Linked DNA regions of Drosophila melanogaster. The protein of the gene in region 1 interacts with the protein of each later gene in a pairwise test. Each region holds a gene or a part of one and is shown in the gene's direction. Other genes may lie near its edges.

Evidence for each region. The genes of interacting proteins can lie anywhere in the genome.
Region 2: the proteins of CG11317 (region 1) and ebd2 interact in a two-hybrid assay, tested with the Drosophila melanogaster proteins (one large-scale study listed by BioGRID).

Annotation. Positions count from the first base shown.
Region 1 is NT_033777.3:31,095,623-31,099,377, reverse strand, and holds the start of CG11317 (uncharacterized protein), read left to right. Parts: upstream 1-2,056; 5' UTR 2,057-2,308; coding exon 2,309-2,423; intron 2,424-3,755. Other genes in the region: CG15553 (uncharacterized protein), read left to right, coding at 57-104, 164-272, 330-387.
Region 2 is NT_037436.4:21,347,615-21,351,369, reverse strand, and holds the start of ebd2 (earthbound 2), read left to right. Parts: upstream 1-2,081; 5' UTR 2,082-2,328; intron 2,329-3,755. Other genes in the region: CG32436 (uncharacterized protein), read right to left, coding at 1-821, 908-1,031, 1,109-1,355.

The DNA of each region.
Region 1 (3,755 bases):
AGAAATAATGAGGAATGCACTTTGTTGCCACTTAAATGTTTTTGTAATCACCGCAGGTAAGCTGTTTGCCATCGGCAACATCCTACAATCGTTCGCGCCCTTTGGTAAGTCCCCTTGAAATTCCCTGAATACCTGCCCCCCATCCATCATATTTCACTTCCAGTCGCCGCCCCTCTTTACACGGCCATCTATAAGGAATCCCTGGCCAGCAATCCTGGAGGATTTAATTTCCTCAGCGCCGCCTTCTACGGGCTAGCGTTCATCCTGATTGGGTGAGTATGGCGGCTATCCATTGCCACACTAAATGATTTTGAATAAATTTATTGCAGCTGGGTGATGCGAATTAAATTCAAGCACCAAAAGTTCTACGCCAAGACGCTCAAATAGCCAAGTAAACTGAATTTCCATCAATATTGATTGTGGCAAGTTTGCCAACTTTTCAGAGCTTTGTTTATGCTTAAGTCGAAAACTTTGTGTGGACAGCATTAAATAACTGGCGTTGTGTGAAGCACTTCTCTGTATATAGCTAATTTAATTTGCATACCGCAAAGGAATTATCTGCCAATTGAAATTACATCATGTTGAAGGATTAACCAACGTTCGTTGCCATTTAAACTAATCGAATTCCAAAATGTCATGTTCTCCATGGCCAACAATTTATTACATCAACTGGACATAAGTGACTACTTTGCCATGCATTTCCATCGAAATTGAACCTAATTGCCGTCCATGTGTAATGCTTTGTTGCGGTTATTATTTCTGGTCCAGGGTCCTTGCTGTTTTTGCTGCAGGGACATGGGGCATGCCTTATGCATGAGCTTTTAATAGTGCATAATTTATGGGGCAAAGTTTGCGCAACATATTCGCAAAGTTCAAACATATTCGGAGAATCGTTTGGATTCATTTGGACTCGTTGTGACTTTGGCACGTACCGCATGAATTCGTAATGTCGCCAATGCCAAAAGTTCACAGAACATACAATTCGCAGCAATTTGAATTGTTAAACGCCAGCCCTCGCTGATTAAATATTAAATTTAGGCTCTACTATGCGCACAAAGGTGGGTCGTATGTCACTTGTCTGTTGTGTGTGTGTGTGTGTGTGTGTGGGCGACTCCTGCCCTCGTGGCGGCCACATCCAAGCCCCGGCAATCAGTATCGGGTTAACTTAACCCCGCTCGAGCAGCAGAAATCGGCGAACCGAAACCGAGTCATCAAATCACAGTCTTGTCTGCGGAAAACCATTTGTTGTGCGGCATTTAAGTCGAGGGTGCTCGGAAAACGCTTTAATGCCGCCGCGCGTGCACCATAAACGAATTCGCAGGACATGAACTTTGCACTTGCACTTGAAACCCTCGAACACGCCAACCTAATGGAGATGTCTTTGTTTTTGCCACAGCGTTAACCATCAGGGGAAAACTTTGATGCGGATGCATGTGCTGCCAGCTGTTAACCGTTCCGCATTTCCGCCCGTTTCCACGTCACAAACACTGATGGGAAAGTGTCAAATAAATATGCACAAAGAACGGAAATTTGTACCAGAAAAATCGTTAAAAGCAATCGCAAAGTGGAAGAGATAGAAAAAAAGGTGCATGCATATATTTTATATACTGTTAAACTTTTTTGTACGATTTTCTCCCGATGCGCAAAGTAGTAAAAGACACTGTCTAATTGAACAGCCCGATAAGAAGCATATAAAACTTTAAACAAGGACAACAAAGTGGCGACCACTTCCGGTGGCGATGATTGATGGACGTTTTAGTGCCCGAAGTCGCAAGACAGTTGAGGCTCGTCCACACGGCGCATACGTAATCGTTTATTAAACAAAACGAATTATGGGCTGCCAGCGGGCCAAACGACATGCAAGTGTTGACGAAGGTCAAGTTTAGCCTTTGCCAAGCGTTGGTTTTCCCAACAACAGACGTCAAAAGAGCAAAAGAGCAGTGGGAAAACGTAAGTCCTTACGTTATCACGTAGACGGAGAGAGCTCTCGTGGTAACACGGAAATTTTCGCTCTCATTTTCCTTCGTGCGGTATAAAATCCGAGAGCGCAAACGAAGTCGATTTAGTTTGATGAAGACTTCCACACGATACGGTCGCCAGTTTTTCCGGGCTTTTCCGTCGCGTCCTCGCCTCATTTTCCGTAGCCCGCTTATCAGCGCAAGAACGCGTCGCGTGAAAATGCCGTCGGTGAAAAGGCAGTTGGCATAATTCGTTGCCTACTTCAGGGCGCTGCAGCATATCAACTGGATTTTTCCGACAGCCCATTAATCAGGATACCGCACTCCTGCACTGCTGCACACCTGCAACCATGTTTTGGATTTTACGGCGCACCGGTGCCGCCAACTTCTTCAACTCCTTCAACAACAACTGCAGCTTTTCCAAGAGCAACTCAAACGGCGGTAATCACAACAACAGCACACAAGGTTAGTTCCCACACCTGGGCAATCAATTAGTCCAGTTGGCTGCAAAAGTCGGGCGGACTCAATTAGGATAATTTATCAATAATTAGCGAACTAATCGGGTTAAGTCGCAAACTTGTGCGTAAATCAACCATAAATAGTAGTGCAGTACTGATATCAAGTTGGTGAGTTTACTGGTTGGTAAACGTGGAAAGGAGCCTAAGGATCTGTTGAGTATCTTTAGTATATCCTATAGATATCTACTAATTTGTAATTTGAAATATTTCAAACGAGAATTCTATATATATATTACTTTGCACTCTGGTTGCCTGAAACGTAACTCCAAACACTTAAAATTGATTGACTTGCAATTGTCAGCTCGCTTCATTCCTGTAATCAATTAAATAACAACATGACTTCCATGAAAATTAAGCAGATCATAGACTAAGCCACTAAATCTTGATAGAAAAGATTATTGCTGTCGACTAAAACCAACTGGATCAAAATGGCAATCTTGGCTTCTCACATTTTCCAAACAGGAATTTCAACAAGTCAATTTCCCTTCAACTTCATAGGTGCATTTCACCGTTTTCTTGATTTGCCATGCCAGACATGTATCAATTCAGGCCTGCGTTTCATTCATAAGCCAAACACTCGCTCGTTATCTAAACAAGTTAATTAAAATTCCCGAAATGACTTGGTGAGTATAGGGCCCGAATAAATGTATATTCTACTTGCCTGCACACTCCTATTGTTTGCCTTTATCTGTGCCGTATGGAAAAGTGGGAAAACATTTTGGAAAGGGGGTGTGGGGTAGCAACTGGGGGAAACGAGGCAAAGTAAATAACATCCAGATCCTACAACCCACGCAATAATGAGGACCTGCACGTGTGAGCGACGAAGAAAACGTGGTGCGGATGTGACTGTCGAAAAGAAAACACTTTGGGCTTTCGGCCCCAAGATGCTTTTGTCTAAGCGCTAAGTCTCGCACCCTCCAAGAAAATTGCTGGGGGAAAATAAAGGATGGTTCGGGGGGGGATTTCGCTGATGGCTGGTAATTGAAATTTTTAGTTGCCTTTGTTGATTCTGACGCGCAAATTTAAAGTTGGTGTACTTTTATTTTAAGCATCGATCAATAAAATATTGTATTGGGTGCTCAGACCTGAATCACATGAATATATAACAACCCAAATGGCAATAATAAGCGACTATAAATAAATTGCGGCTTTATTCTGATTCTCAATCCGGTTGTTATTATAAAATAATTAGCGTATGTTCACGAAGCAAATTAAAAGTCAGCATGGGTAAAATGCAATCAAAATGTTAATCAGAAATTTTAAATTATGTTTACCAACT
Region 2 (3,755 bases), on another chromosome or scaffold:
GTTTTCCATCCAGGCGGAACTTCTTCCGAAGGGTTTTGTAGTAGGCTACACCATACCTTATGATGTCATCCACAGTACCCGGTTTCCATAGCTTGGCTAGCTCAAATTCCGAGTAAATCAGAGCTATCAATGACACAACTAGCGATGCATTCTTCTCATTTCCGGAGATCGGTTGGTGAATGCCACCTGTGGCCGCAGTTTTTACAGCAAAGTTCTCATTGACTGGCGCCCAGAGTTTGTGATACTCCTCGTTTTCCGCCGAATTAATTGGTGGCTCCTTAAGTTTTCCATACTGAGTCAGCGATATCTCAAAAATATTGAATTCATCCTGCGGCTGCAGATCGCTAAACTTGGTGATCAAATGGACCAAGTGCTCCGTATAGCGAGTGGCCATCAGTGAGCACTTTCCCTCCTCGAAATTCCGTTCGCAGTTTTCATCACGTCCATTGGGATCGAAGATATAGTACGAGTTTAAGCAGCGCTTCCAGATCAGCAGGAAGAGATCCCGGGACGTAAAGATGCAGGCATTGTATTTGGAGAAGAATAGGGAAAGTGCTTTGTACATATTTGGTTCGTTTTTCAAAAGTCCCGAGAAGTGTATCTTAATCTCAACGGCGGCGTCTCGTTCCGCAACCTGTTGGATTATATCGAAATCATTCACGTCTGACTTGTAGTTTAGGTCGGCGCTCTTTTTGGTCAATTTCACTCCGCGCTTTAGAATCCCATCCATTGTAGATCCCGTCCAGAAATCGGGATTCAAACGAAAGGTCTCTACGAAAGCGACTATAATGGCACCGATTTCACTAGGCCGATAATAGTACCTGGATTTAATGTAAGGAGGAGTTATATATTTTATTGGAGGGTATTAGTAACTAAGCATTACTAGCAAAGAAATCAGATTACTCACTGCAAACGGTTGGGCTCCTTCTTTGGTTCAGGATAGATGTTCCGATTCCCAAACACAATCTCAGCAGTAAACGTCTTTTCCAGCTGTTGTGGTATATTATAGAGCGTAAGTTCGCCGTCGTTTTCTGTGAAATTTTGAAAAGCCTAGATTAGGAATGCAAATCTCTTGGAAAAAAGATAGTTCTATTCGCTAACTACACACCATATTTCGGCAGGGAGGCGGATATGAACTCCTGATCCATATGCTCCTCTCTCTTCTGGTAGCCCACATTCCAGGTCCACAAATCCTGTGGACTGCAGCCCTCAATGATATCGAAGGTCTTGAGGTTTTCTCCTTCTAAGCCTTCTTGCAGGATTCGCGGATTGTAAGATGAAAAGGGGAGCTCCTCCAAGGGTCCAACTTCAGTTTCGTTTAGGTATATGCGACTCTTGGGACGCTTTAGCTCCAACTGCGCAGGTTGTATAAATATATCATTTCTTTTTTTTAAGATTATATTAATATTCAATGAGGTCGGTAAATTAAATTTATAATTGCAACCGATATACATGAATAAAATAAAAATAAGCTAAAATACATTACAACCATATCCAAATAATTTCTGTATGTGTGGTCAACAAATGGCGCACTTAGTGTAACCCAAATTGCGTAAGGATATGTCCAGCCAATTGAAATATTCAGTGAATTCATAGTCTTGGCTGGCGATGGATTGGGTAACATATGGCCAGTTATCAACGCTTGGCTCTGTGCAAGCTCTGTGCTTTCACTCGGCGACTCGGTTTTCCTGGCCATGGCCATAAGCTTTTAATGCGGCTGAAAATAGCACGCATACGCCACCGATGCCCGACGCCCCGTTGGTCTTTGCCTTGGTCTTGGTCTGGGTATGGCATTTCAGTATTGTGTTGTATGGCAAGGTATGGTATGGATGGTATTTACGGGAGGCCTGTTTTTTCTCCTCCGCTGTTTTTTGCGCTCATCAAGAAGTTAGTTAGCGGCATAAGGTAAGCACGAAATGCCAACTAGACTGACTATAACGACCTGATGTCGCCGCGCTATATGTGGTATACGATGGCATGCGCTATATATGTATGGGTTCGCAGTGCGTCTGTGTTGGTGAGTGTGCCTCTATGGCTGGCTGGCCACGATGACGGGCACCAAACAACAGAGGCGTCCCATGCACAGAGCAGTAAACAACGAACAGCGCTTAGTGCCACATCACGGAATCTTATCGCTCTCGTTCGTTCGGTCGTCCAAAAGCCAAAAACCCAACCAGACCAAAAACCGACTAGCCCGAGACCAAAAACCCGGACCCCGAGCAAATACGAAGCTGCCTCGGCTGCAGAACAAACAAGTCATCTAGTAAGTAGCGTGCTGCAGCAAAAACAGAAACAACAGGCATCCAAATCGACGACCAGGTGAACCAGGTGAGCGCCGCAGTATCGCACTGTTATAGCATACGACCACGTCAATACCAATACTAACACCAATACCAAGGCGCACTTGCCAACAGTACAAGTCGGTTCCAATTCCAACAACGCAACCCTCTTTCCATGGGCGAGCTAGCTGGCAAAATGTCAAACTAGGCGGGGTTACGATGGGGCTCGGTGTGTTCCGCGTACGGGGACTTCAGACACATGATCATTCGCAAGGCAGGTGTGGTGGGATGTCCACTTAATTATATTTTATTTTAAGAACAATACTTTGAGAAGACAAATGCTTATTTTATTCATGTAGTGGGATCCAAAGGACATGTTTTTTTGAGTTATCATATACCTTATGCAAACGAATATTCTTAATATATAATTAAATGTCAGTGAAATACAAGAAAATGACCATAAGTTATTAATTTCATCCAGAGACCTAATTCAAAGAAAGACTAGGAACTGCTGAAGTATTCCACTTTAAGGCAGCCCTTTCATCAATGATGCTGAGGCTGCAAGAGCAAACTTCGAGATGGCTTAAAACTCAACTTAAGTTTGGTATTTGCGAGGTGCAGCCGCCCAGCGAAATTGAGATACACATGCATATGGGGATGGACAGCCAAGTGTTTTGTAAGCAGCGGTCTGGCACCTCGAAAAACAGAGCTTGTCTGCATATACAGAGAAAACTTCAAAAGAGTAAACTTCATTTAATAGTTTTATTTCAAGGACCTTTTTAATAGCTAGTATATAGCTAACAAAAATAATGCTGAACAGAATTGATGTTCTTTTAGTGCCTAAAACATACAATAACTATACCTTTTTAGACAGTTAGTTTAAATGAACGAATAATAGGGAATTTCTCTGTTGTCTAACAACGATCTGGACCGATAAGAAGCTAGCTATGAACGCCCCAAAGACTTTAGAGCGAGCTTATATCACTTCGGCCACCAAACGAATCGTTGGAAGAGTAAAAGTAGACAGGCTCTTATCTGTGACGCAAAGGTAATTAGCCAAGATAGAGCGAGGTTTTTGCGGCGGGCAATCCGACGAGGAATCGGACTTTAATCGGTAACCCAGCATATAGCCTTGCCACCCCCTCCTGTCATCGCCACGCTCCTGCTCCTTCCACCGACAACAAAAATTGATACATAACAAACAACAAACGCGGCGAAACGCAAACGCATATGACACAAGAGCGAAGCGACTGCAACCGCACTGCTTTTGCATACCATGCCCACTGCCGATGCAATAGACCAACAACGCACATAACAGCGGGCAAATAGAGAGTTTCACTTTTTAGGTGCAGACATGTATTTATACATGTATACATATGTACATATATACTAGATACATAAGATCAGCAAATTAACAATTAACGCCTTAAAAGTAGTCGATGTTACCAGGGTTCCCAAAGTATTTGGGGTATTTGC